Saccharomyces cerevisiae S288C: one gene and its partners. Changing the gene in region 1 together with any one later gene gives a genetic interaction. Each region holds a gene or a part of one and is shown in the gene's direction. Other genes may lie near its edges. The genes, in order: PEX22, RIP1, SFC1 and PMP2.

The links.
Region 2: mutations in PEX22 (region 1) and RIP1 together harm fitness more than expected from each alone (negative genetic interaction), as found in Saccharomyces cerevisiae (2 studies listed by BioGRID).
Region 3: mutations in PEX22 (region 1) and SFC1 together harm fitness more than expected from each alone (negative genetic interaction), as found in Saccharomyces cerevisiae (2 studies listed by BioGRID).
Region 4: mutations in PEX22 (region 1) and PMP2 together harm fitness more than expected from each alone (negative genetic interaction), as found in Saccharomyces cerevisiae (2 studies listed by BioGRID).

What each region holds. Positions count from the first base shown.
Region 1 is NC_001133.9:40,452-49,049, forward strand, and holds PEX22 (ubiquitin-protein transferase activating protein PEX22), read left to right. Parts: upstream 1-1,725; coding exon 1,726-2,268; downstream 2,269-8,598. Other genes in the region: GPB2 (Gpb2p), read left to right, coding at 1-1,450; ACS1 (acetate--CoA ligase 1), read right to left, coding at 2,430-4,571; flavin adenine dinucleotide transporter FLC2, read left to right, coding at 5,448-7,799; oleate-activated transcription factor OAF1, read left to right, coding at 8,113-8,598. UniProt on the Saccharomyces cerevisiae protein: Involved in peroxisome biogenesis.
Region 2 is NC_001137.3:103,100-112,021, forward strand, and holds RIP1 (ubiquinol--cytochrome-c reductase catalytic subunit RIP1), read left to right. Parts: upstream 1-4,160; coding exon 4,161-4,808; downstream 4,809-8,922. Other genes in the region: YEL025C (uncharacterized protein), read right to left, coding at 1-3,048; YEL023C (uncharacterized protein), read right to left, coding at 5,405-7,453; Arf family guanine nucleotide exchange factor GEA2, read left to right, coding at 8,322-8,922. UniProt on the Saccharomyces cerevisiae protein: Component of the ubiquinol-cytochrome c oxidoreductase, a multisubunit transmembrane complex that is part of the mitochondrial electron transport chain which drives oxidative phosphorylation.
Region 3 is NC_001142.9:605,152-614,163, forward strand, and holds SFC1 (Sfc1p), read left to right. Parts: upstream 1-4,621; coding exon 4,622-5,590; downstream 5,591-9,012. Other genes in the region: transcription factor IME1, read right to left, coding at 1-500; 60S ribosomal protein eL43 RPL43B, read left to right, coding at 3,154-3,155, 3,431-3,707; YJR096W (aldo-keto reductase superfamily protein), read left to right, coding at 6,044-6,892; JJJ3 (Jjj3p), read left to right, coding at 7,262-7,780; YJR098C (uncharacterized protein), read right to left, coding at 8,035-9,012. UniProt on the Saccharomyces cerevisiae protein: Transports cytoplasmic succinate, derived from isocitrate by the action of isocitrate lyase in the cytosol, into the mitochondrial matrix in exchange for fumarate.
Region 4 is NC_001137.3:121,877-126,484, reverse strand, and holds PMP2 (proteolipid ATPase), read left to right. Parts: upstream 1-3,555; coding exon 3,556-3,687; downstream 3,688-4,608. Other genes in the region: nucleotide diphosphatase/phosphodiesterase NPP2, read left to right, coding at 267-1,748; GTT3 (Gtt3p), read right to left, coding at 1,815-2,828; EAF5 (Eaf5p), read right to left, coding at 4,175-4,608.

The sequences.
Region 1 (8,598 bases):
TCATCTCAAGAAAAGATTATATGTGAATAACACTGGTTACATACTCGATATTATGTCGTTCAAGTTCACTAAAATAGATATCATAGTACAACCTTCCAAATATAATGCATATCCGACAATGTCATCGAGGTTTGGTCACTTACAAATTTCTATTGATAATCCAAATAGGAGAGCTAGCGTTCATTCTTCAAGCATGAACGAAATTCATAAAATGGGGAGTGCTTCCATGAAACAAGGTAGCAGCATCACTTCCGGGCGGCTTGAAAAAGCAGCAGTACTTTCATCATTACCTCATAATACTGTGCACACGGTTATAATATTTGGTGGTTACAGACAAACCGGTGATGATCGTTACGAAGCAATGAATGATTTGTGGAAGATAGAGATACCCGTGATACGTCGCGGTAAAAAAGGTTATTGTAAGTTTTCAGAGACAGCTAACGCGATACTACTGACGCCAAGCGAAAAGGACAAATCGGATTGGCCCGAAGAAAGAGCCTTTTCTGCCTTTTCTGTTCATGGGACTTCGTTAATGGATAGGAGTTCTCTTGACATGAGACTATTGAACAACTTAAAAAACCATTTTGTTTTAAAACCGTCATATATATCACAGGATCGCGTTGTTAGTCCTAAACCGGTTTTCCCCATGATGGTTCATGGCACGCATCAAGATCTTTTCAATAGTGGCTCTGCGGCACAAGAATCGCCCAAAGCTGGTGCCTCGGCCAGCAGCGCAAGTGCTGCGAGCTTTGATCCCGATATGGACGATAATTTGGAAAATTATATAGTCAATCCAGGGAGAAAATCGTCATCTATTCCAATGACTGCGATAGGGAGACAGAGATTAATTTTAAGCCAAGAGAAGCCAGTAGGTAAAACTGTTGTATTGCATGGTGGGTCTAACGGTCTCAACGTTCTTGATGATATGTGGTTGATGGACTTAGAGTGTGAGACATGGACTCCAATAGAGACATTTGCAAAGGCAGATTCGAGCGAAGACGGTGATGAAAAATTGGATAGTGTGAACGTAGGTCTCGTTGGCCACAGAATGGAAAGTATTGGACGAATATGTGTATGTATAGGTGGTATGGTACAAGAGGATGTTGACCAATTTTACTCGGAGAATGATGATGAGCCTCCTCGAAAACGCAAGGTCGATACATTACCGTTGGGTGGTAATTTTTTGAACACAATTGATTTAAGCACGCAGTGTTGGGAAGAACATAAAATTACTCTGTCCAAGAAGGAAGACGATGAGGACAGACAAGATAGCGAAAATGAAGATACAAATTCAAATATAGTAGTTGGTGTCGGTGGCACTTCTTTGCAATGTGACAAAAGTATTATTTTGATTGGCGGATTGATATCTAGACGGAGCAATGTAAAAGAAATATATTTACATGGTACCATAACGAAAAGTATTTTTCCTAGCGTAAATCCTAGTGCATAAAAAGGCAGTTTTCAATGCTTTCACTTTGTAAACTTTGTTTAGTAGTAGAATATAATATATTCAGTTTTGTTTTATAGTCACATAACACTTTGTCTTTCAAAGAATAATCTCCTTCGCAATACCAGCGAAATATTTTGGCAAAAAATTAACAATTAGGTTCATAGTCCCCTAATTCAATTAATCGAAAAAAAAAAAATAAAATATAAGGGAAGATTGTGCTGATGAAATAGACAATGAAACAATAATGAAGAATAAAGAAGAAGAAGATATAAAACATGCCACCACCATCAAGAAGTAGAATAAACAAAACAAGAACATTAGGAATAGTGGGTACAGCTATAGCAGTGTTGGTCACGTCCTACTATATATATCAAAAGGTGACAAGTGCAAAGGAAGATAATGGGGCACGACCTCCAGAGGGTGATTCAGTAAAAGAGAACAAAAAGGCAAGGAAGAGCAAATGTATTATAATGAGCAAGTCGATACAAGGACTGCCCATAAAGTGGGAGGAGTACGCCGCTGATGAAGTGGTTTTGCTGGTACCTACGAGCCACACTGATGGATCAATGAAACAAGCCATTGGGGATGCCTTTCGCAAGACGAAAAACGAACACAAAATCATATATTGCGATAGCATGGATGGATTATGGTCATGTGTAAGACGGCTAGGTAAATTTCAGTGCATATTGAACTCCAGGGACTTCACAAGTAGTGGTGGTAGCGATGCAGCAGTCGTTCCTGAAGATATAGGCAGGTTTGTCAAATTTGTTGTTGATAGCGATGTAGAGGATGTGCTGATTGACACTTTATGCAATTAATGTAGAAAAGAGTTTCTTGTAACAGTATGTAAAGAATAAATAATTATAAGTATAAATAAAAAGAGAAGGTGAAATAATAATAAGTAAGCAGCTCGGTTATAAGAGAACAAAAACACACGAAAAAAAAAAAGTCGTCAATATAAAAAGGAAAGAAATCATCATTACAACTTGACCGAATCAATTAGATGTCTAACAATGCCAGGGTTTGACAATGTAGAAACGTCGCCTAGTTGGTCACTTTCTCCTGCTAGGATTTTTCTTAAAATACGTCTCATAATTTTGCCGGATCTTGTCTTGGGCAAGTCATCCACTAAAATGATCAATTTTGGTGCGGCAAATGGCCCGATGTCTTTTCTAACAGTAAAGACCAAATGCTTCTTGATATCTTGTAATTCATCATCTGTTGCGGTGGACCAACTAGATTTGTTTTTCAACACCACAAATGCAGCAACTGCTTGACCAGTCAAGTCATCGTTGAATCCGACAACAGCACACTCGGCCACAATTGGATCTTCGATAATAGCAGCCTCAATTTCAGCGGTAGACAGACGGTGACCAGAGACGTTCACCACATCGTCTACACGACCCAAAATCCAGATATAACCATCCTTATCCTTTGCAGCACCATCACCAGTGAAATAGTAGCCAGGGTAAGGGTTCAAATAAGTGTCTAGATACCTATCATGATTTTTCCAAATAGTTCTTGCAAATGATGGCCATGCAGCTTTGACGGCAAGGACACCCTCTGCGTGGCTGGTGTTAAGTTCTTCACCAGTGTTAGGGTCAAGAACAACTGCATCAATACCGAAGAAGGGGAATGAGGCAGAACCCGGTTTCATTGGTGTAACACCACCAGCCAGCGGGGTGACCAGATGCGAACCAGATTCTGTTTGCCAGTAGGTGTCTACAATGGGGATTTCATTTTTACCTATTTTTTCAGAGTACCACTCCCAAACTTCAGCAGCAATTGGCTCACCGACCGAACCCAAGCAACGCAAAGATTTTAAGGAATGATTTTCGATGTAGGAATCACCAGCTCTTTTCAACAAACGCAAAGCAGTTGGCGCAACATAAAATTGGGTGACTTTGTGTTCATCAATAATATCCCAATAACGGGAGTAATTTGGGTACGCAGGAGTCCCTTCAAAGACCAAAGTGGCACAACCATATAGTAAGGGACCATAAACCACATAAGTGTGGCCTGTAATCCAGCCAATGTCTCCAGCTGTGAAGAAAACGTCTTCTTGGTGAGTGTCAAAAGTGTAGCGCATGGTCAACAAAGCTCCCAGCAAGTAACCTGCGGTAGAATGTTGAACACCCTTGGGGGCACCAGTAGAACCAGACGTATACAACAAGAATAATGGATCCTCAGAATCAACGGGTGTGCATGGATAGTAGGTCTTGTATTTCTTCTTTTCTGTTGCCCAATCCAAATCTCTGGGGGCATGGAAAGCAACAGATGGATTGTTGGTCTTTCTATAAACCAAGACGTGTCTCACGCCTGGGGTCTCTCTTAGCGCGTCATCAACAATTCTTTTAGTCTCAATGACTTTACCACCTCTGTTGGATTCATCTGTAGTGATGACAACTTTAGAGTCCCCATCGTTGATACGATCTCTCAAGGAGTTGGAAGAAAACCCGGCAAAGACTACGGAGTGAATGGCACCGATACGGGAAATGGCCAACAAGGTTATGATTGCTTCTGGGACCATAGGCATGTACACGGCAACAGTATCGCCCTTGCGAACGCCCATAGAGTAAGTCAGCACTTGTGCCACTTGACAAACTTCTTCAAGTAGTTCCTTGTAGGTAATGGAATAGCCTTGGCCAGGCTCGTCACCTTCGAAAATAATGGCTTTCTTGTTAGGAGTCTTCAAGGCATGTCTGTCAACACAGTTGTAACAGGCGTTTAATTGGCCGTTGAGGAACCATGCATTGTTCTGGAAGGAGGGCCTGCCCGTTTTAGGGTCTGGGATGAACACCTTATCGAATGGCTTAGACCAGTTTAAAAATTGGGTAGCTTTAGAACCGAAGAACTTAGCAGGGTCTTCAATAGACTCCTTGTGCAAGCGCTGATAGTCCTGCAACCCGTCCAAGTGTGGAGAATAGTGGGTAGCAATTGCGGGCTGCAGTCTATCTGAGATGGGCCGTTGTGGCACGATCTTGACCGAAGTCAAATGTTCATACTCATGTTCCTTCTTCTGCTGCGCAGTGGCGGCAGACTGGGACATTTTTGCTTTCAACTTGTCAATTTCACTTGACTGTTCTTCTAGTTTTGATGATTGTACGGCAGAGGGCGACATAGCACAGTGGGCAATGTCTTTCTAGTAGTTTTGATATGTTTGGTTTTGCTTATAGATAGAAAATATAAGAACAAGATATAACGTACTACCAGATAACCTAAGGGAGAAATATGCTTAGAATAGCCGCCCAGTTTATATACAAAATGAAGGGAGAACTATTTGCCACCGAGGAACTGTACCCCAACTGCAATACCCATTGAATAATGGCATCGGAGGCTCGGCGGCAATTCGTACCCCAACCTTTTTTTTTTACTTTTCTTTGGATCTTAGAGATAACAGAAAAAAAGGATGACCCCAATCATTTGCCACGGCATGTCAACAGGTGAGTGCCTTTTGAGGGGGGGGGGTCATCTCGACATCCGGCGAAATGGAGCAGTCACACGTGAACATTTTTAGGGGATGGAGAGTGCTACGCCGTTCGTCCGAGATGATTATCATATTTACACAGCCGTACATACACGTGCCATTTATCTTGATATCATTCTGGACGTATGTGCACATGTGATTTGCTTTTGTTTTTTTAAGAATGTCGGGTAATAAACAGATTGTTTTTCTGGGAGGATAATCTTTTCTTTTTTCCTGTTGGTATTCTAAAATTAACCTTGCTGTTTCTTTTTTTTTTTTTTTTCGCGCGACTACTCAGCCATCTTGCATTTTTAAAGAAAAAGATAATCATTAATGCCTTCACGGGAATACGTATAGAACATTATTAAAAGTATATGAATGGCATATATATATAGAACACCACCCTTGGAAAACATTTATACCCCTTAAACTAAAACAATTTGCTGCGCTATACCGTGTTTCAGTGTATTATAATACATTCATTTCTGTTTCATTACGATTATATTGACGTGATAAAAAGATTATATAGCCATGATCTTCCTAAACACCTTCGCAAGGTGCCTTTTAACGTGTTTCGTACTGTGCAGCGGTACAGCACGTTCCTCTGACACAAACGACACTACTCCGGCGTCTGCAAAGCATTTGCAGACCACTTCTTTATTGACGTGTATGGACAATTCGCAATTAACGGCATCATTCTTTGATGTGAAATTTTACCCCGATAATAATACTGTTATCTTTGATATTGACGCTACGACGACGCTTAATGGGAACGTCACTGTGAAGGCTGAGCTGCTTACTTACGGACTGAAAGTCCTGGATAAGACTTTTGATTTATGTTCCTTGGGCCAAGTATCGCTTTGCCCCCTAAGTGCTGGGCGTATTGATGTCATGTCCACACAGGTGATCGAATCATCCATTACCAAGCAATTTCCCGGCATTGCTTACACCATTCCAGATTTGGACGCACAAGTACGTGTGGTGGCATACGCTCAGAATGACACGGAATTCGAAACTCCGCTGGCTTGTGTCCAGGCTATCTTGAGTAACGGGAAGACAGTGCAAACAAAGTATGCGGCCTGGCCCATTGCCGCTATCTCAGGTGTCGGTGTACTTACCTCAGGGTTTGTGTCTGTGATCGGTTACTCAGCCACTGCTGCTCACATTGCGTCCAACTCCATCTCATTGTTCATATACTTCCAAAATCTAGCTATCACTGCAATGATGGGTGTCTCAAGGGTTCCACCCATTGCTGCCGCGTGGACGCAGAATTTCCAATGGTCCATGGGTATCATCAATACAAACTTCATGCAAAAGATTTTTGATTGGTACGTACAGGCCACTAATGGTGTCTCAAATGTTGTGGTAGCTAACAAGGACGTCTTGTCCATTAGTGTGCAAAAACGTGCTATCTCTATGGCATCGTCTAGTGATTACAATTTTGACACCATTTTAGACGATTCGAATCTGTACACCACTTCTGAGAAGGATCCAAGCAATTACTCAGCCAAGATTCTCGTGTTAAGAGGTATAGAAAGAGTTGCTTATTTGGCTAATATTGAGCTATCTAATTTCTTTTTGACCGGTATTGTGTTTTTTCTATTCTTCCTATTTGTAGTTGTCGTCTCTTTGATTTTCTTTAAGGCGCTATTGGAAGTTCTTACAAGAGCAAGAATATTGAAAGAGACTTCCAATTTCTTCCAATATAGGAAGAACTGGGGGAGTATTATCAAAGGCACCCTTTTCAGATTATCTATCATCGCCTTCCCTCAAGTTTCTCTTCTGGCGATTTGGGAATTTACTCAGGTCAACTCTCCAGCGATTGTTGTTGATGCGGTAGTAATATTACTGATCATCACGGGACTTCTGGTTTATGGAACTATAAGGGTTTTCATCAAGGGAAGAGAGTCTCTCAGATTATACAAGAATCCTGCGTACCTACTTTACAGTGATACCTACTTCTTGAACAAGTTTGGGTTCTTATACGTTCAATTCAAAGCAGATAAGTTTTGGTGGCTTTTACCCTTATTAAGTTATGCGTTCTTAAGATCCCTGTTTGTTGCCGTTTTACAAAACCAAGGTAAGGCTCAAGCAATGATCATCTTTGTCATTGAACTAGCTTACTTCGTTTGTCTCTGTTGGATAAGACCATATTTGGACAAGAGAACTAATGTTTTCAATATTGCTATTCATTTGGTGAATTTGATCAATGCATTTTTCTTTTTGTTTTTCAGTAATTTGTTCAAGCAACCAGCAGTGGTTTCGTCAGTGATGGCGGTTATTCTGTTCGTTTTGAACGCGGTGTTTGCTCTATTCCTATTATTGTTCACTATTGTCACCTGTACACTGGCATTACTACACAGAAACCCAGATGTCCGTTACCAACCAATGAAAGATGACCGTGTGTCATTCATTCCTAAGATTCAAAATGATTTCGATGGCAAAAACAAAAATGATTCTGAACTGTTTGAATTGAGAAAAGCTGTTATGGACACCAATGAAAATGAGGAAGAAAAAATGTTCCGTGACGACACTTTCGGCAAGAACCTGAATGCAAACACAAATACAGCAAGACTCTTTGATGATGAGACTAGTTCATCCTCTTTTAAGCAAAATTCCTCTCCCTTCGATGCCTCGGAAGTAACGGAGCAACCTGTGCAACCAACCTCCGCTGTCATGGGTACGGGTGGCAGCTTCTTGTCTCCACAGTACCAACGTGCGTCATCTGCTTCTCGTACTAATCTAGCGCCGAATAATACAAGCACCTCCAGTTTAATGAAGCCTGAATCAAGTCTCTACCTGGGGAATTCCAATAAATCATATTCGCATTTTAACAACAACGGCAGCAACGAAAACGCCCGCAACAACAACCCATATTTGTAATCCAATATATACTCACATGTAACAACTTATTATATAAATATTTAAGGGCAAGGATATCCTACATTATATTTCATAGAAAACCGCTCAAAAAGGTGTATTATCTCCATTACATCCCAACACCACACATATTTCAGCGATAAAAACCTTAAATGTGAAATTCGCTTTGGCTCTGCTTCCTTAAATGTACGCAATTGCCGCTTTTTTCTGACATCTTTTTTGACGTGTAGAGAAGGAAACAGATCCTCCAGAAGGGATTTACTGTTGGCTATTTTGTGTTAGAAGCAGGTTAATAATAGATTAGGTTGCGTAAGTCATGGTCGAAAATAGTACGCAGAAGGCCCCACATGCCGGAAATGATGATAATAGCTCTACCAAGCCATATTCGGAGGCGTTTTTCTTAGGGTTCAATAACCCAACGCCTGGATTAGAAGCTGAGCACTCAAGCACATCGCCTGCCCCCGAGAACTCCGAAACACATAATAGGAAAAGAAATAGAATATTGTTTGTCTGCCAGGCTTGTAGGAAGTCAAAAACAAAGTGTGATAGAGAAAAACCTGAATGTGGTCGATGCGTCAAGCATGGGTTAAAATGTGTTTATGACGTATCAAAACAGCCAGCACCACGAATTCCGAGTAAAGACGCCATTATATCAAGGTTGGAAAAAGATATGTTTTATTGGAAAGATAAAGCTATGAAGCTACTAACAGAGAGAGAGGTGAATGAATCAGGCAAGAGATCAGCAAGTCCGATCAATACAAACAATGCTAGCGGGGACAGTCCTGATACCAAGAAGCAGCAT
Region 2 (8,922 bases), on another chromosome or scaffold:
CGTTGCACAAGAAAGGTCTGATAATCGACCTAATAGATAGTTCTTATCACTCGCTAAACAATCGTTTTTAGGTTCTCTTAGCTTCTTAGGAATTATTTTAGTCGCCACTTGTGTAATGCTTCCCAACCGCTTAAAACCCAAGTAGGGACATTCAGGGTACTCTGATGGATATACTATGGACGTCCTAATTGGAAAGCGGGTTCTCAAAAAATCTCTCAAGATCTCAAATTGAACCAGATAATCACCACTCATATAAGCTGGAAGACCTATATGGTTAATCGATGAAAGTGCTGGGAAGGAATAGGCCTCTAAAATTTCCGCGCCCTCTTTTAGCATGTTTATTTTATATGCTGCTATGCCACTATCACCAGAAAATAAAACCAAGTTGCACTCATAGTATATGAACACCGAGAATATACAATCTTCGAGATAATTCGCGTACAATTGGGTAATGTTATTGTTTCTAATTTCAAACAGCCAGAATTTTGTACGTTTTTCACCAACTCCTAAGCATACAACAAACTTATTACCATAAAAGGGTCTCTGTGATAAGTAGATTGAGTTTTGTTCTGGCCACAGTGGCTTCACAACGGCATGTAAATACTTTTCATCCGAGAAACTGAATGTGGAAACTGCCTTCATTGAAGCATAATTGAATAGCATCAACTTATACTGCCTACTATTGCTATCGACCAAACACACCACGGCCTGATTGAGGTTATTTGGAACAGTATAGAGCTCTACGGGAATGCTAGGGAGGTAAAAGATATGATTTTCTAATTGAGGTTTTAATGAAGTCATCTGCTTAGTGAAACCTTCACGGTAAAACGTGCTACCAAACTCAAAGATGCTTATTCGAGAATCATAATCTAAAACACAAAGAGAGAACAGTGCTTTACCGGGTCGAATTCTCATTCGTCTTGGAACTAAGCCTAACTGTATGCAACCATAAGACATGTTTTGAAGATTTAACAAAATTATTTCCTTATCGTTGTAAAGGAAAACCAAAGGTAAGGAAGGAATCGTATCCAACAGTTCTAATTTCTGATCGTATAACGAATGAATCTCTAAATCCACTCTCAAAAAATTTGATTCTGATTTGTAGACTCTTACGCAGCCAGTGTATGATGATGCGATGACATAAATCGAGTCGTGTTTATGCTTTTTGCTTAGCCAAGATATTTTTATCAATTGATCATAGGCTATGAAAGAATAGTCTGGATGTGATGTAGCCACTTTCTTTTGATTGGCATTCCATACCGAAAACACACCGTCCAAGTAAATGACAAAAAGGTATTTCTCGGCACCATCTGAGAAACAGCTCACAATACTCTCTTTAGAATTGAGCCCATGGATAAAAAATTCTTCTTTTTTACGTAGAAAACCAGATTTTGCCTCAAGTATCGAAATCCTGAGCTTGGAGTTCTGTACGGGATAACAAAACATGGTGGAAGAGTTGTGGTTCGACTGCAAGAAATCGACCTGCCTAAATTCTCCGGTAGAACCATCCATACCGGCTTTCAAAACTTTTCCCGTCCTAGAAACAAATAGACCGTAATCATAAGGCTCATCCATTAAAAATATTCCGTTCTTATAAATCAACCCACCTGATTCATATGCAAATTCGTCACCACCATTAAGTGCTAAATCTGTAACCCAAAAATCAGTTACATTCTCTACTAGCGCTTTGGAGGAAGTCACTAACTTGAACAGGGTTTTGTCATATACCAAAATTTTCTTTTCTAAAAATCCTCTTCTTGAGTTAAAACTTCCACCCAAAAGCAGTGAATCAATATCTGTCCCCTTGTTTCCAATAACTTGTGATGCCAGGTAAACTTTGTTTGTATAAGCGGGACCGCTTTTCACCTTTTCTAATTTTGAACCTCGATGATCTTTCGATATAAAATTTACTCCATTTATTCTTGTCACCGCTATATACTTTTCACGTGGGAGCTGCAAAATAACATCGCATAGATCATGTTTAGGAGGCTTGAACACTCTTTCTTTTGTCCATTGTAGTTCTTTCAGGACGTGGTCTCTATGTAACGACCTAGTGTGTATCTTGGCAGTGTATTTGTTAGCATACACGTCAGAAATTGTCAAGAGAATGACTGATCTTTCATATATCACATCATAAGAATCTTTTAGAAATTGGTAGTTTTCTACATTTGGGAGACCTTTATTATTGAAAAAAGCCCCGTTTGTAAGCCCACTTGCTTTTATATTTATTATTTGAGTGTAGTTAGTAGTCAACACTACAATGGTATGGCCGCAAACTACCTTCATATAACAAAATTCATTATCACATATCGGCAAAAGATTGTATTGGCGGTACTCGTTTAAATCAAATTTCCTACTTCCATGCTTTCCAGCAAGATTGTATTCCTTTAAAAACAGGTTTTCACTATAGCAACTCTTAAGTAGGCAAAGAAAATAAACGTGTGATTTACCTGTGCATGTGGCGTCGTCAAGCAAATCCTCCCTGCTAATAAAATCAAAGGAGATAATTTCTTCGCCATCGGTGGCATAAAATCTTTCGACTATTCCTTCTCTGAAGTCAAAGGAGTAAATTGTCGTACATAACGTATGCAAATCACTATCATATGATATGTTTTTATTGCAAGTGTATAAAACACCCTCAAAGGAAGCATTTAACCAGCTGGAAGTTAATAAAGAAATAGTATCCAGTTTCGGAGCCACATTAGAGTCGTAGATAATTTCAAATTTGTTATTTTCGCATTTGAATCCCTTAATGGAACCGTCGTTAAACATTAGCAGGTGACAGAAGGAAGCTGACATGAACATCGGTACAGTTGCGTAGTTAACAACGAACGGTCCATCTAAAGCGAACTCAACCTTCGCTTTCAATTCGTTGGACGTTCCGGTATACAATCCATAGCTAAAACATAAAAAGTAACTTCCTTCGTGATGAAGACAACTTACCAGCTTCTCAGCCTCATCTTTTGATCTATAAGATGTTATGCATAAAGGTAAAAAGGCCGAATTGCTATCCAATTTTTTGCAGTCCGTTTCATCTTGTCTTGCCATTTTACGTGGCAATGGCTAGTGCAATATGCAATGCGCTAACGCTGACATTATAACACAATATATTTTTCTACCCTCCCTTTCGCTGAGTTGCGACCAGAATGTCTGTTTTTCAGTCATGTATTTCTTTCCGCTTTAGGCGTTCAGGCAAGCGCGTTCAGTTGAAAGCAAATAGAACCTATAACGACGAATACGCTTAAAGGAAGTATACAGGAAATAGAAAAAGAAGCGTACTGCATGTACTAAAAACCAAAAAAAACACCACATCGGCTCTCTGGTTGTATCCATACTTTCCCTAAAATTTTGTAACTCAAGAAAATACCTACATAAAACGATAATCAGTGGATTGCACTGATCAAGTCGAAAAACTCCGTACATGCCCGTCTATCCCTGTCTCATCCATATAAACTGAACTAGGTAGAAAAAAATACCTACCCTTTCTTTAACCGCCTGGTATATTAAATACCATTGTCAATTGAGAAGCTAACAGCCATTGTAAGAGTTATGTCCAGTGTCCGACTAAGACAAGGTAACCATACGTTGATAGCTATGAATACCCCAGAGGAAGATTATTCTTTCTCATAAATCCTTTTTATTGGTTTCAAAAATCCACCAATAAGTTCATATAGCTTGGGCGGCTATTCATGCGTAATATAATGTGCATGAAGTACGACCCATCGACTCTTAGAGCAAATGCTTCCTAAATTGAAATAACTAGCCGCCTTTAATTCGAGCCTTCTTGTCATCTTGTGTATTTCATCCTTTCAACTTCTCCTGTTCCACCTTTCACTCTAAGCTTCCCTATCATTTGGCCTCTTTCAGGTTCGTCCATAGCGCATCTTTTTCCTTTTAGACACTCCATAACGGACCAATCAGCGTTTTGCGCCATTTATCGGTCTTGGGTCACGTGCGGCGACGCGGAGGCTCCCTTATAAGGACTGGAAAAAGACCTGCAAGAACTATAGTTGGTTCTTGAATATCAAGTAATATATTACTTCTCTGTCGTAACTTTTTGTTGCTTTCAAGTTCAACGTCTTTTAAAAACCAAGAAATTATTGAACATAAATAATATCACTCTAACACTTATTAGGAAACCGAAAGGAGCAATAACAAACATGTTAGGAATAAGATCATCTGTCAAGACCTGCTTCAAGCCAATGTCTTTAACTTCCAAAAGACTGATTTCTCAATCTTTGCTGGCTAGCAAATCCACGTACAGGACCCCAAATTTTGATGACGTTTTAAAGGAAAATAACGATGCTGATAAAGGCCGTTCTTATGCTTACTTTATGGTCGGTGCTATGGGTCTTTTGTCATCTGCAGGTGCCAAATCAACCGTAGAAACCTTTATTTCATCTATGACCGCTACTGCCGATGTTTTGGCTATGGCTAAAGTTGAAGTTAATTTAGCGGCTATCCCATTGGGTAAAAACGTGGTTGTCAAATGGCAAGGTAAGCCTGTGTTCATTAGACACAGAACTCCTCATGAAATTCAGGAAGCCAACAGTGTGGATATGTCCGCTTTGAAGGACCCACAGACCGATGCTGACAGAGTCAAAGACCCTCAATGGTTAATTATGCTGGGTATTTGTACTCACTTAGGTTGTGTTCCAATTGGTGAAGCCGGTGATTTTGGTGGTTGGTTCTGTCCTTGCCATGGTTCACATTATGATATTTCCGGTAGAATCAGAAAGGGACCTGCCCCCTTAAACTTAGAAATTCCTGCTTATGAATTCGATGGTGATAAGGTCATTGTTGGTTAGGTTTGTTTTTCGTCCTCGAAAACTACATCTTTATTGTCTATTTGTTTCACCCTTATTTTGATTTTTCATTTACTATCCATTATGTTATGAACGGGAACTATACAACTAACCTAAGAATTTTGAAATCACAACAAAAATAATCAACATCACAGTCTCGAAGGGATTACGCTCAAAAAGGAACGAAAATCACTATACTGTATTCCCTGTTGATTTTCCTAAGAATATATTCTTATACAATATGGAGAAAACAAAAGGATAAGAAAAGAAAGGGGAAATAAAGAAGATTTGGACCTATTTATTACTACTTTTTTGTCTCACCATCTTCTTTTTCTATTCATAATATTTGATATTCCTTTATTTATCTGCATGTATTTATAATTAACGAAACTATTTATCTTCCCTCGTCCTGCCTTATCCTTCTTTTCTCCAAATGTTTTACCTAAGATTGGCCTGTATTTGAATATTGATGTCCAGAAGCAGAAGATTTCACATGTTGTATAAAGTATACAAGATTGTAAAAATGATTGAAGTATTTTTATATATGTATATTACCTATAAAATTTTTTATATTACGTACCGAAGGGGTTTTTTTAATGCTAAAGCGATTCATCTTGCTGTAGGTATATTTTTAAATCATCTGGAATATCTGTCCAGGAATTACTATCCCAGTCCATGAATTTCTTTTTTAATTGGGAGTATTTACTGTCAAATAATCTTGAATTGTATGTCGTTGCAAAATAACTTGCTTTTTGACCCATGTGGAGTTCCTGCCCTTCCTCATTATCAAAAAAGCCCCCATTGATTTCACTCCCGTTGCTATTATCTTGCTTATCATATTTATTTGAAACTTTATTACTTTTTAAATCAATACCTTCCAAATCTTGGAACAATTGCCTTACATATTCCGGCATATTGTCCGGTCTATACCTACGATCAAACTTAATTCTCCAATAGACTGACCAATGTAAACTGACATATTCGGGTACATAACGAGATCTTCCGAGGTTAGGTGTATGAAAATTTTGCCACTTTCCTTCTTTATTTTCCATTCGTATTCCAATGGGGAGCAGTTCCAATACCCACCACACCAATCTCATAAATTTATTTGCATGTCCACATTTAAGAGTAAAAGCATCCTTCACTTTTTCTTTTTCATCTTTCAAGCTCAATCTAGTCTCTTTTATATTTTTTAGACAATCTTCCATTCTCTCATTTCTGCCAGATTTATCCTCTCGGGCTCCATCCTCATTATCACTCACTCCTAGTAGGGAACATTTCTTTGGTGAGTTGAAACTAAGGTAATCATGTGTGTCTGCGAATAAAGATCCAATCGAAGTGTGTTTGGTAGCGAAATCATGTATTGCACCAGGTTTGAATTTAACACCAAATTTGATTGCCTCTGCTAAAATCCATCGCAGCGTTAAATTTGACAAGTTCTCTTCTGTCTCACAGTCAGGCGCCCAACCTCCACCAACGTCAGAATGATCACCTGGAAACCATTTTTCAATCAAGTCGGGTGTCATAGTCATTCTACTTGATGTACCGCTGCCTTGGATAGATTGAAGTTGGAAAATGGCTTCAATTCCTCTTGTTGAACATTCTGTATCTCTCGCGTATGAATTACCTTCTAAGAATGAGTTCAGGTCCAACAGCAACTCTGTAGTTTCCTCGCTTTTGCTCGATAACAACCTTCCAGGGTTATCAGGAATGAGTGGAGAAGGATTACTAATAGAATGTGCGCCACTTTTTAAAGTGTATTTTATCAAAGGATTTTCCGGGGTTAGATCACGCATTAATGCATTAGAAGTTGGCACCGGCGAACACTGGTCAGTTATATGATTACAATATGTCAATGAAAATAGTTTCGGAATGTACGGCATCGGAGTGAAACATAACTGCTTGAATTTTCCACGTCTTTCATCCAAGGATACGCAATGTCGAACATGCTCAACGATATTGCTTCTCTGGGTGCAAGGAAACAACCTGTCCCTTAATATTCCAACTGAGTTCACAGAATCGAATAAGCCTTGAAAATGTATCTTTACCTCGTAATCCCTAGAGAATGTTTTCTTGAATTCTTCAGCCAAGGTACTTGTGTACTGTAATTCATTAGGCTGCGAATCGTATTCCCATTTTTCATAGATTTGCCATGCCATTTTAACCATTTCTTCCAAACCTTTACTCAAAAGTCCGACTCTTTCAATCATTCCAGCAAGAACTCTTGCAATAAAAGCTCCTCTAGAAAAGCCAAACATATAAATTCTATCTCCTGGTTCAAAATACTTCATCAAAAAAAGATATGCAGAACATATGTGATTGTCTAAACTGAATGCGAACATAGAATCTAATAAATTTTGTAAGTGAGAAATAGTTAACCGTCTTCTGACATCAACAACAGCGTCAAATCCAACTGAACCAATTCCAGGTTGGTAATAACAAATTTGTTCAGAACTATCACCGTTCTCAAGAAGGTTGTACAATTTTAAAATATTAGTGAATGGCTGAGGTCCAAAATTTTCTCTTGTTCCATCAAAACAAAGAATGATATTCTTGCCAGACGATGAATGTGAGGATGGATTTATACTTCTGTCGCCTCCCGTCCCATTTTTTTTATATTTTCCATGAATATAATTGAAGCTATCCATCTAATGGATATTATGTTAGTGTATTATTTTTTATAAGTTACATCACCTGTTTGCTGTTATTTTACTACATCTGTCTGAAGTACATTAATTTGTGGCGGTTTAACAGTATATTGAATGTGACAAACACACCCAGACACCTCAATAGACAACAGGAGGGCCATTACCATAATTTCATAACATTAAATATTCCAAGTAACATTTTTCAGAAGACGAAGAAAGACTAATTAACAGGATAATAAATATTAACATTATCTTTTAAGTACCATACTTGAAGCGTCAATTGATGTATGTTTGGTTTTCCACTATTTTCCTAAAAGCATGAATCTTTTCTAGGCAAAAAATTGGAATGACGACTCCTGATCGTTAAAATGGAAGACAAACACTAGAAGTTGACTTCAAAAAAACTTCTTTCATTAAATAAGGGAAATATCCGGCCGGCTCATACTGATAATATACCAGCAACATTTACAGGAAACTGCAGGTTTTAGGCAGTGTGGCGAACCGCAAATAAAGTAATAAACAACAATTTCAAACGGAAAGGACTCCTCTGCTAAAGATTTGATGTTTTTAAGTTCTTTTATAGTTTATATTGGCATAAGAGGTAAACCATATTTAGCACTTATTTTCATAAAGTATTAGAAGTGTTCTTATATATTTCATTACCCGACTTGAAAAATACTACGCGGTTCATTGCGAGAACCTTCAATAAGTGTCGAAAGAGCACCTACATTGGCGTTTAAATAATAAACACACCAACCTACATATTACGTTGAATTTAAATTCTTTCACTGCTTGTAAACCATAGACAATAAACTGATTAATTTAGTATCTAAAAAATCTTTTAAAGGGAAAGAGAAGAGGCGGAAAGATGAGTGATAGGGAATTCGTCACGGTAGATCCCGTCACTATCATAATCAAAGAATGCATTAATTTATCGACAGCGATGCGGAAATACTCTAAATTTACCTCTCAATCTGGAGTGGCCGCTTTGCTGGGGGGAGGAAGTGAAATATTTAGCAATCAAGATGACTACTTGGCTCACACATTCAACAATTTGAATACCAACAAGCACAATGATCCATTTTTATCTGGATTCATTCAGTTAAGACTTATGTTGAATAAACTGAAAAATCTAGATAATATAGATTCACTAACCATATTGCAGCCATTTTTATTAATTGTGAGTACAAGTTCCATTTCTGGTTACATCACTTCCCTGGCCCTGGACTCTTTGCAGAAATTCTTTACCTTGAATATCATCAATGAATCATCGCAAAACTATATTGGTGCACACAGGGCGACGGTAAATGCTCTAACACATTGTAGGTTTGAAGGATCTCAACAACTTTCTGATGATTCAGTTCTTTTGAAAGTCGTGTTTTTACTGCGTTCAATCGTCGACTCACCTTACGGAGATTTATTATCAAACTCTATCATATATGACGTATTGCAAACGATTCTTTCATTGG
Region 3 (9,012 bases), on another chromosome or scaffold:
ATATCGATATCATCTCCATTTCTGTTGCTCTTTTGAAAGTTATCATGGTTATTGAATGATGAGTGGAACGTAGATGCGGATTCATCATTAGAAAAAAGAGATGATAATGAAGAGGATCTGGTACTTTCAGAGCTCTTTTTTCCTCTTTCAGGACCAGTTGCCATTGTGCAGTCCTTCGTAGTTTTCGTTTCCTTGGAAATAGGCTGAGAATCAATATTTTCCAAATTCAGAAACTCTTCATTGAACAATATTTGAGGATTAATTAAATGAATTGGTTGTGTATGAACCAAGTTCTGCAGCTGAGATGAGGCAATTTTGTCAGACTTTTCAAAATGCCAACTTCTAGGGGAAATTGTAGATCCAAAAGAAAAACAAGGACGGTCTTCTTGATCGGTGGTTGTGTCATAATAAATGTTAGGTTGTTGTTGCTGTTCAAAAGGAAAGAGGAAGAAACCATCTTCTAAGGCAGCGTGAAGTTTTCCATGCATATCCGCTTGCATTTTGTTTGTGGGGAGAGGAATAGAAAAGCTTTTCTTTTATTATTTTTTTCCTTTTTCACCAGTAATGGGTGCCAGTAGGAATTTGTTTCTCTGTAGGTGACTAATGACAGTAGTATATTATGCTTTTAATCTTTAACAATACTACTGGTCGATTTATAATATGATAATGTAAAATAAATCGTAATAGGATAGTCGATGTTTGTATCTACTTCACGAAACAGTTATGGTATACGGTAGTTTAAATATCTGAAGAAGCAAAAATACCGAACTACAAGGGAAGCATTTTGAGAAAAATATTAAGATCAAAAGATAATTAATTTACCTTAAATACATAAAAGAGGAAAAGTAATATACAAGGTAAACAACAGGCAAGGAACAAGATCAAAAACGTCCGACCCCAATTTAGTAGTAAATTACAGTAAGAGAAAAAGGTATTGGGGCTGATACATATTAATTGTGCGTTGTTGTTGTTGTTTAATTTTAGATTGGCTATTATGAGTACACACAAAACGTTGTAAACGCAATCACCCATGGATAAGCGCTCCCTTTAAAATGCACTACGAAATCATTGATCTACTAACTTTAAACCGGACTTAAACCATCAAAGGGTGCTCTAGATCTCATCGATGTATTCTGATGCAGCCAAAATTGCGCAATCAATCACGTTTCCCGATATAGAAAACTAATTGGCTGTGTTACGTGGCTGGGGGTTCTGTAATTCCTTTCTTCCCCGGTGAATCATCAAGATTGGGCTAAGCGCCTTTGATCCTTTCCCTCGAAGACGGAAATGGGGCCGCAGGATAAAAAATGGTGTGTCTGTAATTCCGATTTTTTGCTTATGTAATCATGTAACTTTCTTCTAGTCCCTTTGCAGACATGCATGACACTTCCTTACCCGAATAGTGAGTTAGATCTGTGTTAGGATGCAGGATGGGCAGTTCAAAGGCTTTTCTTATCGTATCTTTACCTTTTCCTGTAACTAAGAAGGTTTTTGAGTGCATGTAAAGGCACATAAATGAAACTTTAATTCCCTGCGTATTTAAGACCCAAGAAGCCACCATGACGCTTCCTTGATGTTGTATCTACCCCCAATCCTGGCGCCCCCTCCTGCGGGCACGCATGCGCCTTTGATCCTTCCCCTCGAAGACGAAAAGTAAACAAAGATACGCACTTTTTTTCTCCAACGCAGTATTGAAGGTACCATCACATGCTTACTCACTTTGCGGCTGCTATAACACCGTGGCAGTGTAACGTTTTACCGTTTGTCCTTTGCTACCGCATTTTAAAGTGGTACAAGATGTTGAGAGAAAAGATTTCCTGCAGCCATGATTAGGAGAGGTAATAGCGGATGACATCAACGAATAAGCTTTATCCAGCGGCTTGTATAGTTCTGTGTACACAATTACTGCCGGGCTCTCTGAGCATTTGCGTTTCTCGGGCTAGCTTCATTACTTAGTAACTTCAAATTAATGAAATATTTAATTATCATGATTCCAAACAAAACTACTTTAATTTCAATCACATTTTTGTTATCTGCCTGAAACGATAGCTGTACGGGTACGTTCTTGATAAATAAAACTCAGTGTTTAAAACTCTCTTTTTACATCTGTTCGCCGATGATTGCTTGCTCGGAGGTACTAGTCATCGGAATTGAGGAAATTCCTTTTCTCCTTTGTTTTCTCTTTATCCCCGCGTAAATACGCGGAATGCCAATAATCAAGTACACATTCTTTCTCCAAGTTGGCCAAAAAATAGTTCAAATTCTTTAAACTAAGCGCTATTAATTATTATTAATTATATAAGTTTGAAAATATCAATGCAGGACCCTATTTCTTCACGAGGGTGTATCCAGAAACGGTTTCTTATATAGTGTTGGCGCTCACTTTTTTCCTACCCACGTCTATATATGCAACGCCTACTTGTTTTAATCAACATCACAATTTTATGCTTTTGAGGTACAGCAGTTAGCCGTACGTTTTCGGCAGTCGCTAAAAATGTAAGCGCGGCATTTACTGCCATTTAGTGGACTTCTTGAGGTTCTTTTGACATCCGCATTCTTGCAGCAAATACACCCCCACCCTTCTTTTATTGAGAATATCTACTGAACCTCCGTGAGGGAATACATTAATCAAATTACTCCAACACCATACGGGCCGTGGCGGAAAGAACAGCATGATATAGATAATATATGATATGAATTGATTTTTTTTTCTTTTTTTCTTGCGGCTGGTATGGTATTGTAAGGATGATAGTGCATTCTATGAGTGATTTTTGTGACGGTGACGTACGATCTCTATACCTTTTTAGCCGCCCATCTTCTGCCTTTCATTTTTATGCCAACCCTCCATCCATACATCCTTTTTAACCCATACATATCATTTAGATTATTGTTTTTTAATTTTTTTTTTATCAGATGTTGTTCATCGCGAAATTTATAATCTTTCGATTGAATCGCACTTGTCGTGCATAATGATAAATACCTTCCGGAGAGAAAACTCAGACCCACTGGGAAGTTCCTACCTGCCGAGTAAGACCAGCTTGAAAAATTTGAAATTTCAACTGAGAATCAGAATATATTACTGCCCTTCGTGTTGTAGGGTTATTCATTAACTATATACGATATTATAAACAGCATAGATAATCAAACAAAAAAATGTATGCATATAATAGAGGAATTGGATGACTAAATGTTCTTATATTGGAGTTAGTGGAGATGCGTGGTAGATTTGAATTAAATAGAAAGTGCTGGGGTTGATAAACCACGAAATATCGCAGTTGAGGAGAATGATAAGCCAGGATAGATGGTAGCGCATTTTTGGGGCAATCTCACTGTAGGTCCACCACAACTCAATATGACTACATCGAATCAGTTATAAGGCAAGTTTTTAGTTTACTAACAAATATTTCCATCTTATTTTTTTTTTTTGCAGGGCTAAGAGAACAAAGAAGGTCGGTATCACAGGTAAATACGGTGTCCGTTATGGTTCATCATTGAGAAGACAAGTTAAGAAGCTTGAAATTCAACAACATGCCAGATATGACTGTTCCTTCTGTGGTAAGAAGACTGTTAAGAGAGGTGCAGCTGGTATTTGGACTTGTTCCTGTTGTAAGAAGACCGTTGCCGGTGGTGCTTATACTGTTTCTACTGCAGCTGCCGCTACTGTTAGATCTACCATCAGAAGATTAAGAGAAATGGTTGAAGCTTAAACTTCTTTCATTCATTTTCTCTTGGCTTTCACTAGGTATATCTATTCCATAACGACTATGTTTTGTATTTGTTAATTTACATAAAACCATATCAGTACATCAACGAACTGTAAAAAAGAAACTTTAGCATAATTATTGCGGATATTTAAACTCACTTGCAGGTAAGAGCAAAAGGCGATTGATTTCCAGTCCGCCTCTTGTCACGTGATTTAGTAAGAAATTTTGACAGCACCCTCGGTTTAATGGAAAAGAGGGGCGTTTTTCGATGAACCCGAGGGGAGACTAGAGAATCATCTCGGTTGAATGGAGCATTATTTTTTTAGTAGCGCCCGCCCGGAGAAATGGACGTTGGCGAATGAGCCATGAATTATTAACCGCCCATGTCTACCAGATACCACATCGTATGACAGTACCAGCCTAGTCCCGGTAAACCGCAAACGGACCTTAATTGTGACGAAGGGCCCAAATTTGATGGGTCGGTGTTAATGATTAGTCCTCATTGTCATAATAAAGTGTGATGATGGAGGCAATGATGATATACGGTAGTACTACTGCTCGAGGTGCTATCTTTTAACCAATCCTTTGAGATTCTTGTCGCCACGGAGTTACTACCTTTTACAAACCGTAATGTCACATTTTGCATATATCTTATGTATAAATATATAGTTCACTTACTACTTGTTCTCGTTTTGTTAACTTTCTTGTTGTAGTTCTTCTTGTTCTTGGCGTTTCCCCCTTTGTTTTCTATCTGCTTCATAAGTAAAGTGCAAAGCATTTTGGAAGATATTATCAATTGAGTCATTGAAAGAAACTTGGCATCTTCCCTATTACTAAAACTAAGAATACTTGATTCAAGAAAGAAGTTTATATTAGTTTTAGCCGTAAGATAACATAACAAAGAAGAAGAAAGAAAAATGTCTCAAAAAAAGAAGGCTTCCCATCCAGCCATCAATCTCATGGCTGGCGGCACAGCAGGTTTATTTGAAGCATTGTGTTGTCATCCTTTAGATACAATTAAGGTGAGAATGCAAATATACAGACGGGTAGCTGGTATTGAACATGTTAAACCCCCAGGATTTATTAAAACTGGGCGTACCATTTATCAAAAAGAAGGTTTCTTGGCTCTGTATAAAGGTCTAGGTGCTGTGGTCATCGGTATTATACCTAAGATGGCAATCCGTTTCTCGTCTTATGAATTCTATAGAACCTTATTGGTTAACAAGGAATCAGGAATTGTGTCTACCGGTAATACTTTTGTTGCTGGTGTTGGGGCTGGTATCACCGAAGCTGTTCTTGTCGTGAACCCGATGGAAGTTGTAAAGATTAGGTTACAAGCTCAGCATTTAACTCCGAGTGAGCCAAATGCTGGTCCTAAATATAACAACGCCATTCATGCAGCCTACACTATTGTCAAAGAAGAAGGTGTTTCTGCCTTATATAGAGGCGTTTCCTTAACTGCGGCAAGGCAAGCAACTAATCAGGGTGCTAACTTCACAGTTTATTCTAAACTGAAGGAGTTTTTGCAGAATTACCATCAGATGGATGTCCTACCTTCATGGGAAACTTCTTGCATAGGTTTGATTTCGGGTGCTATTGGGCCGTTTTCCAACGCTCCATTGGATACTATAAAGACAAGGCTGCAAAAGGATAAGTCCATCTCATTGGAAAAACAGTCCGGTATGAAGAAAATCATAACCATTGGTGCTCAACTACTGAAAGAAGAAGGTTTTAGAGCTTTGTACAAGGGTATTACCCCAAGAGTGATGAGGGTGGCTCCAGGTCAGGCTGTCACCTTTACCGTTTATGAATATGTAAGGGAGCATTTAGAAAATTTGGGTATATTCAAGAAGAATGACACACCAAAGCCAAAGCCATTAAAGTAGATGATGAACAATGGGACTACAAAATGAAATAAAGAAAAAATAGAAATAGGCTAGAAGATCAATTATTAATCGCCCTATTCTTCCTTATTACCTACACAAAATAAAGCAGCAACATAAGAAACAAAAACAAAATGAAAACAAACCAAATAAATCTATGTAAGCATACTCATTTCAATTTGATATTCATTACTTGACTTTTTTGTCCTTATTTGAGGCTCCATAAGCGCGCCATTTTTCCCTACTCCCTTTTTTCGTAAATAGTAATAATGTGCTGAAAAGAACAATGAAGTAGTTATCATACATATTCCGTCGTGTCGATATGAGGGGAGGTGTCTCTTTCTTTCATCCCTTGTCGCAACCTCCAATATATAAGAGCATAAGCAACTGATCTTACTTTAGTAATTAACTTAGCATACCTAGCCCGAAGGAAGAAAAAAAATTCACCTCAACAACATGGTTCCTAAGTTTTACAAACTTTCAAACGGCTTCAAAATCCCAAGCATTGCTTTGGGAACCTACGATATTCCAAGATCGCAAACAGCCGAAATTGTGTATGAAGGTGTCAAGTGCGGCTACCGTCATTTCGATACTGCTGTTCTTTATGGTAATGAGAAGGAAGTTGGCGATGGTATCATTAAATGGTTGAACGAAGATCCAGGGAACCATAAACGTGAGGAAATCTTCTACACTACTAAATTATGGAATTCGCAAAACGGATATAAAAGAGCTAAAGCTGCCATTCGGCAATGTTTGAATGAAGTCTCGGGCTTGCAATACATCGATCTTCTTTTGATTCATTCGCCACTGGAAGGTTCTAAATTAAGGTTGGAAACTTGGCGCGCCATGCAAGAAGCGGTTGATGAAGGATTGGTTAAGTCTATAGGGGTTTCCAACTATGGGAAAAAGCACATTGATGAACTTTTGAACTGGCCAGAACTGAAGCACAAGCCAGTGGTCAACCAAATCGAGATATCACCTTGGATTATGAGACAAGAATTAGCAGATTACTGTAAATCTAAAGGTCTCGTCGTCGAAGCCTTTGCCCCATTGTGTCACGGCTACAAAATGACTAATCCAGATTTATTAAAAGTTTGCAAAGAGGTGGACCGTAATCCAGGTCAAGTTTTGATTCGTTGGTCTTTACAACACGGTTATTTACCACTACCGAAGACTAAAACTGTGAAGAGGTTAGAAGGTAACCTTGCAGCCTACAACTTTGAACTGTCAGACGAACAGATGAAATTTCTTGATCATCCTGATGCTTATGAGCCTACCGATTGGGAATGCACAGACGCGCCATAAAAAGAAAATGCGAACCGTAGAATAACGTATATAGAACATATAATTAGTTTACGTTTCACAAAGTATTAATATTACATGTAGCTTTTTCAGGACTTTCGATCTAAATCAAAGATTAAAGGAGCTGCTAGAGGTAGAAAAGGAAATCATTGACTTTTCTTGAAGATTTATGAGCGGGTAACTGGAGATGGAAATTTTCAGAAAAATTGTAAATGGATGCGATGACTTCGATGTGACGTTACTAGTCTTACCATTGTAAAAACCACTATCGGTGCCAAAAGATAAGCGCAATCAACTAAGAAATTTACCACGCTCTTTGTATTGTATTTATCTCCAATTTAATCTTTCTTTTGGTGTGAAAATTTAGCGAAAATGTCATTGGTGAATTCGTTAACACACTACGAAATTTTAAGAATTCCATCGGATGCAACACAAGATGAAATCAAAAAGGCATATAGGAATCGGTTACTAAATACGCACCCCGATAAACTTTCTAAAAGCATACATGATACGGTTAGCAACGTCACAATCAATAAGATTCAAGATGCTTATAAAATACTATCGAATATAAAAACTCGTCGCGAATATGATAGGTTGATCCTTGAAAACTATAAACGCCAAGGATTTCATAATTGTGGTGATGGGCTGGATGAATTTTCCTTAGACGATTTCTCATTTGATGAAGATAAGCTGGAGTTTATGATGAATTGTCCTCGCTGTCAATTTGTTGGTGGTTTTCATTTTAGTGAGAGTTTGTTAGATGAATGCATTGATAATGTAGACGCTATGGAACGGAGTCATTCTGGTTATCAATTATTAACCCAATGTAGCGCATGCAGCTTATGGCTGAAGGTTAATTTTGACATCGAGGAAGAGCAAGAAGGACAATAATGAAAATGGGAGGGGAAATTGAGCATATCAGATAAATCTGTTTATAGAATTATTATTTTACTTCGTGGGAAATCGAATGGTGTATATAAAAGAGGTTGTAAAATTGACGAAATAAATAGTATTTAGGCAACTAAAGATAAAAAAATATTATTTATTTTTATTCGCGGTGCGTTGCCAGATTTTTTTTGACATGCGGAATTTTGGTAAAAAGAAAAATGCAGATATGAATAGTAAACAAAGGAATAAAAAGCCTTTCATGAAGAAGTTCGTGTTCGAGATCTTCTTCCTTCTTTTTCGCTGTCGACGATAGATATGAATGCTTTTGCCATTGATTTCAAATCCGTCATTAAGCTAACATGACCTGAAGAACTGGCGATTTTACAAACAACTGGAAAGCCTCTCTGTTCAGGCAATAACCATTTATGGTGAACAACACCGTCGCCCGGACCATAGTAAAAATCTTCATAATTCCCATCTTTTATATCTTGTATACCGTTCACTTTAGCACCTCTAACAGTGGGAACCTTGTTACCGTAAACCATGGCCAATGGAGGATATTCTTTGTTCGGGTCGTAATCTAAGCTATCCAAATAATTCTTTGTACGTTTTAAAGTTCTCGCTAAATATTCACAGCTATCTTCATAAGATGTATGGAAGACTTCATCGAAAGGCACATCCCTTGGTACCTGTTTATTATTGCCGGCTACATTCCTAACAACAGGTGCATTTAGGACAAACTTGGTAGTTGCGTTTAGGGTAGCTTTAAGCGAAAGCGCTGATTTCGTTTTCCTTGGTAATAATTTTGATTTTTCGTGAGCTGATTCCTCTCTTTTCTCATTGACGAGAGGTGACAAGCCAAGGGTTTTCCAAACATCTGTATCAAAAAAATCGAAATCATACCTCTCTAAGGTAATTTTGTCAACAAAACATCTACCATCTAACGGTAGAAAATAGAAACTACTTCTCATAAAAAAGTTGGTTTCTTTAGTGAAAATAGTTTTATTCCACATCACATCATCTCCAAACCTAATAGGACCTAAAATATTTGGACATTGGCTTGGGGAACCCACGTAAATAATACCTCTTATCAAATGAGTACAGTCTTGCAACACTTTATGTGCGACCAATCCGCCCATTGAATGGGCAATGATGTATATTCCCTTCTTATTTTTTTGCTTATTGTAAATTTCCTCTAGTTTAGTCGTTAAATGCTTGGCAGATATGTCCAAGGA
Region 4 (4,608 bases), on another chromosome or scaffold:
GGAAAAAGAGACGGGCTTCAAATCCAGGGTAATAAAATGACATAATTAATAAACAAGATGATTGCAGCTAATTACAATAGAGTGTAGCGACACTCGATAACTGGGTTGAGAGTTTTTCTATCAATTAGACGGTTTACTGTGCGTTGATGGAAGATAATTTAAGGCTTTATATGACTGTGACGCTTGATACCAGGGTTCATTAAACACGCAGGCCACAAAACAGTTTCGAAATAACAAAGAAGGCCATTTCGAAGTGTGCTTACGATATGCTTCTTTTCGAGCAACCTGTTGACCTTGAAAAAAATAATGAAGATGATACGAACATAAAACCTTTCGCAATATCACGACATTTTTTATTGAAACTTTTGCTTTGCGGTATAATACTCATTGAGTTGCTTTTATATTCGAAGTGCCCAAAACCTATTGATAATGGGCCCCGGACAATTGCGAATAGATCAAATACTTACTTCAACGGCACACATGATTTCAAGACGTTAACGATATTGATATCTATCGATGGGTTCCATCCGAGATTGATAGATGCAAAATACACGCCATTTCTTTACAACTTGCACAATTTGCGGTCCCCGTACGATATGAATATCACGACTGCACCGTATATGATCCCAAGTTTTCCCACTCAGACATTTCCCAACCACTGGAGCATGGTAACGGGAAAATATCCCATTGAGCACGGTATTGTTTCCAATATATTCTGGGATAATTTCACGAGTAGCGAATTTAGACCAAATAACCTCGACGCAAGAATTTGGAGCAACACGGCTGACCCTATTTGGCAACTACTGCAAACTGAATCGCAAGGCGAATATAAAGTGGCCACGCATATGTGGCCTGGAAGTGAGGTTGTGTATGAGGACCACGGGGATGTACCTAGGGAAAGAATGCCATTTTATTTTGGGAAATTCAATCAATGGGAAAAACTTCAAGATAAATTAGCTCAAATTTTCCGATACATAGATATGCCTCAGCTTAAAGATAGGCCAGAATTGGTCATAAGTTATATACCCAATGTTGATTCGTACGGACACAGTTTTGGATACGATTTACGAGATAAGCGGCTACAAAAGCTGATCGGTGAAGTCGATGGATTCTTTCTCGATTTGATTGAAGGCCTGCAAAAAAGAAACTTGTTGAAAATTAGCAATGTTATGATTGTTAGTGACCATGGCATGAGCAATGTCAACGCGAATGACGGTGAGCATGTTGTTGTGTGGGAAAGGGTGTTCCCGGCCGACGCAATGAGCGCATTTATTTCGCATCTTTATAACGAGGGCCCCATGATGATGGTATGTTTGAAAAACCCTCGAGACAAGCAATGGATTTGTGACTTGATTGAAGCTCAGTTAGAGAAAGCATATGGAGATGAAATATCGAGGAAGTTTCACGTGATCCTGAAAGAAGATTTCGACCCGAGCTGGAAATATTTCCAATACGATAACAGAAAGCACAGATATGACGATAGGGTCGGCGATATCTGGATTCTCGCAGATGAATACTACGCCATTGTAAAAGAAATGGGTGATGTGCCTATCGGCATTATGGGCACACATGGATACAACTTTAACAACTGTAGTGATATGGCATCTATATTCATTGGAATGGGTCCGATGTTCAACAATGAAGTCGTACCTCCATTTGAAAACATCGAAGTATACAATATGCTGATCAAGGCAAGTGCGCTTTTGGGAGAAGAAAAGACAAAGAAGGAGAAGAGTTTATTACAATAATACAGAGTAGTAAATACACACTTCGCGGCTTACGTACGCGTGTGTATACGTATGTAAGAAAATATACTATAATACGTATAGAGTGAGGAGACAACTAACCATGGAGAATACTAGAGGTACCATACCAAGGGAACGGTTCACTGTACAGAGTTGTGTCCATAGTTGGTTAACACATCGAAAAGAATGGAAATCTATGTTTTTATTATTACAAGTTTTGAAGATTGCCAAAGAAATCAAGAATTTCGTGAGATTGAAAGTCATCGGGTCCAACTCGATGTTCAGGTCGTAGCGGATGAAGTTGATGTAGTATGACACTAACGTTGGAATACCCCTAAAGAAGAGCAGCCACGTGAGTATTGGTAAACAGAAATCGAGCGTGTATTGATATTTATTATGGGCGGCAACGGCGGCTTCCAGCGACGATGCGAGCGAAGAAGAAGAAGTTGGCTGCCCGGCGGCTAATATGTTTCTCACCAGAAAAGAGAATTCCAACAAGGAAAAAATCGTATCGACGGCGGAAATAGTGGAAAGATAGTCCTGAACATTTTCATTCAATTTCTGCGTTTGGTATCTAATATCGGAGAGGTATTCCTGAAAGTTAAACTTGAACTTAGTAAACGCAGAGGTGGACGAGTCGTTATCTGTGCTAAAATCCAACAAATTGAAGTTCGTTTTGGCGTTTGAATTTGCATTCCTGCTGGAAAGCGGCTTTGTCGCGCTTGTTTCATCGCCTGATTGCGGTTTCTCATCATCATCCTCCTTGATGTACGCTTTCTCCAGATCGGAATCATTTGTGGCGGTGTCACAGGATCCAGACCCAGACCCGTTTCCAGATCCGGATCCGTATTCGTTCCGTTCATCCTTTGACTGGTCCACTGTCATCGACTCATAAAAGGACCTTAGTTCCGGGTAGTCGTCTTTAAAATCCACAGGTTTCTCAAGATGATTCAAGTGCGATTCGAGGTAATCGATCATATCACTCTTCTTGGCATAATTGGGGAAGCCGTCAATTTCCAGCTTGTTGGCCAGGTCAATTAGGTCCGCCTTCTTCCAGCGACTAAAAGTTGACTTGGTCGGCATATTGTATTATAATGATCTGTGATGGGCTGTAATGCACTTTCACTTTTGTTTTCTCCCCTTGTATATAGATATTTTCGCACGTTGTTTACGTATTGTGTAGTTCTTTTTGTTATGAGTGACGAATGCACGCAAGTAGCGCGCAGGAAATTATCATCATATACGTATATCATCATATACGATTTACCACTTTTAGCACATTAACAGCTCGGGAAAGAGTTTCGGAACTCGGAAAAAGCACGACAAACGAGGGCGAGCCACTAAATTACCGCAATCCTACGACCACAGCAGCCCGGGCCCTCTCCAAAACCGCGCTCTAGCCCGCTCTGCTTACTCCCTGTGCAGCGCCGCCCGCGGTAGCACTGGCCAACACCCTGACGCAACTCGTCACCACGCTGTTGAGCTGTTTTCGAAATCCGTCCGCAGCCCTCCCTAGCTTTTGCATCAAAAAAAACCTCTCGCTATTTTTCCGGCGCGGATACTTAATTTCCTTAACGAATTACAGAACTTTTTTCTCTCTTTCTCTTCCACACCTTTTGGTTTAAATAAACAGTGAAAAAAACTAAAATTCCGTAATCACAACTCAATTTCCTTTCCTTCCTCTTGGTTAATATAAAATCAATTCTTCTTCCCTTCCAGTTTTTTCTCTTTCGTCCTTCCTTCTTCCTTTCTCTTTTTCTCCATCGTATACATACAAAACAATAAATAGTACAATAACAATTATACAAAGATGTTGATGAGCACGTTACCAGGTGGTGTTATCTTAGTTTTTATTCTAGTCGGTTTGGCTTGTATCGCCATCATTTCTACCATTATCTACAGAAAATGGCAAGCTAGACAAAGAGGTTTACAAAGATTCTAAGCGATCACTAGCAAGCCAAACGAGCTTGATGTTGTTTTCTCTTAGTTATCCTCTTTTTTTTTTTTTTTTCAATTACTGAATATTAATGAATAAATTAGACCTCTTTTCTCCCCAACCCTTTTAATTTCTAATAATTAATTAATTTTTCCTGTGTGTGTGCTATATTCCTACTTTGTATCTGTGCTGTTCGATTCCTCTGTTGGAACGATGTGATTTGCGTGGGCGTTTTATCGCAAAAAAGTTTTGGGCATGCGGGCGTGAATGGATGTTGTTTGCCGTGTGTGGGCAAATACACCCTGCTCTTCGTTTTGTTTGTCCCGTTCTTTCCCATTTTTACCTACCTACTATGTTTTTTTTTGAGAAACATGTCGCTTCATTTGTTATATATTGTTCTGTTAAAGAATTGTGTGTGTATTTTTTTAATAAAATAGTATATAATAGTAATGTTACAAGACTTTAGATTTTCGAAGTGTCGCCTACTATCTCCTTACTCTAGTGCTCTTCTCATGAACTGCACCGTATCATCCAATTCAAACTGCACTTGTCTAGCCAATTTCCAGTCGTCCGTACCAATGACCTTTCGCATTACACCGTCCGTTATGCTCTTTTGAAGAATCAGCTGCAGTTCATGAACGCTGCCGGGCGTTTCGTTCTTTATGTCTTCGTAATTTATCTCATTCTTGATAATGCTACCATCGGGACTCTTGAATAGCTTCTGAAAATTCCCAGTTTTACTTTCCAATTTATTCAGAACGGTATCTCTGTATAATTTCAATAGTTTTTCTCTTTTTGGGTCCATTGAATGCGCCATGTGTGGCGTAGTCGTAGTTATAGTAGCACTGGTACCAGCAGATCCACTTTTGCCAGCATTTGCATGTGGTTGCAGTTGCGATGCACCGGTCTTTATACCGTTCTTCAATA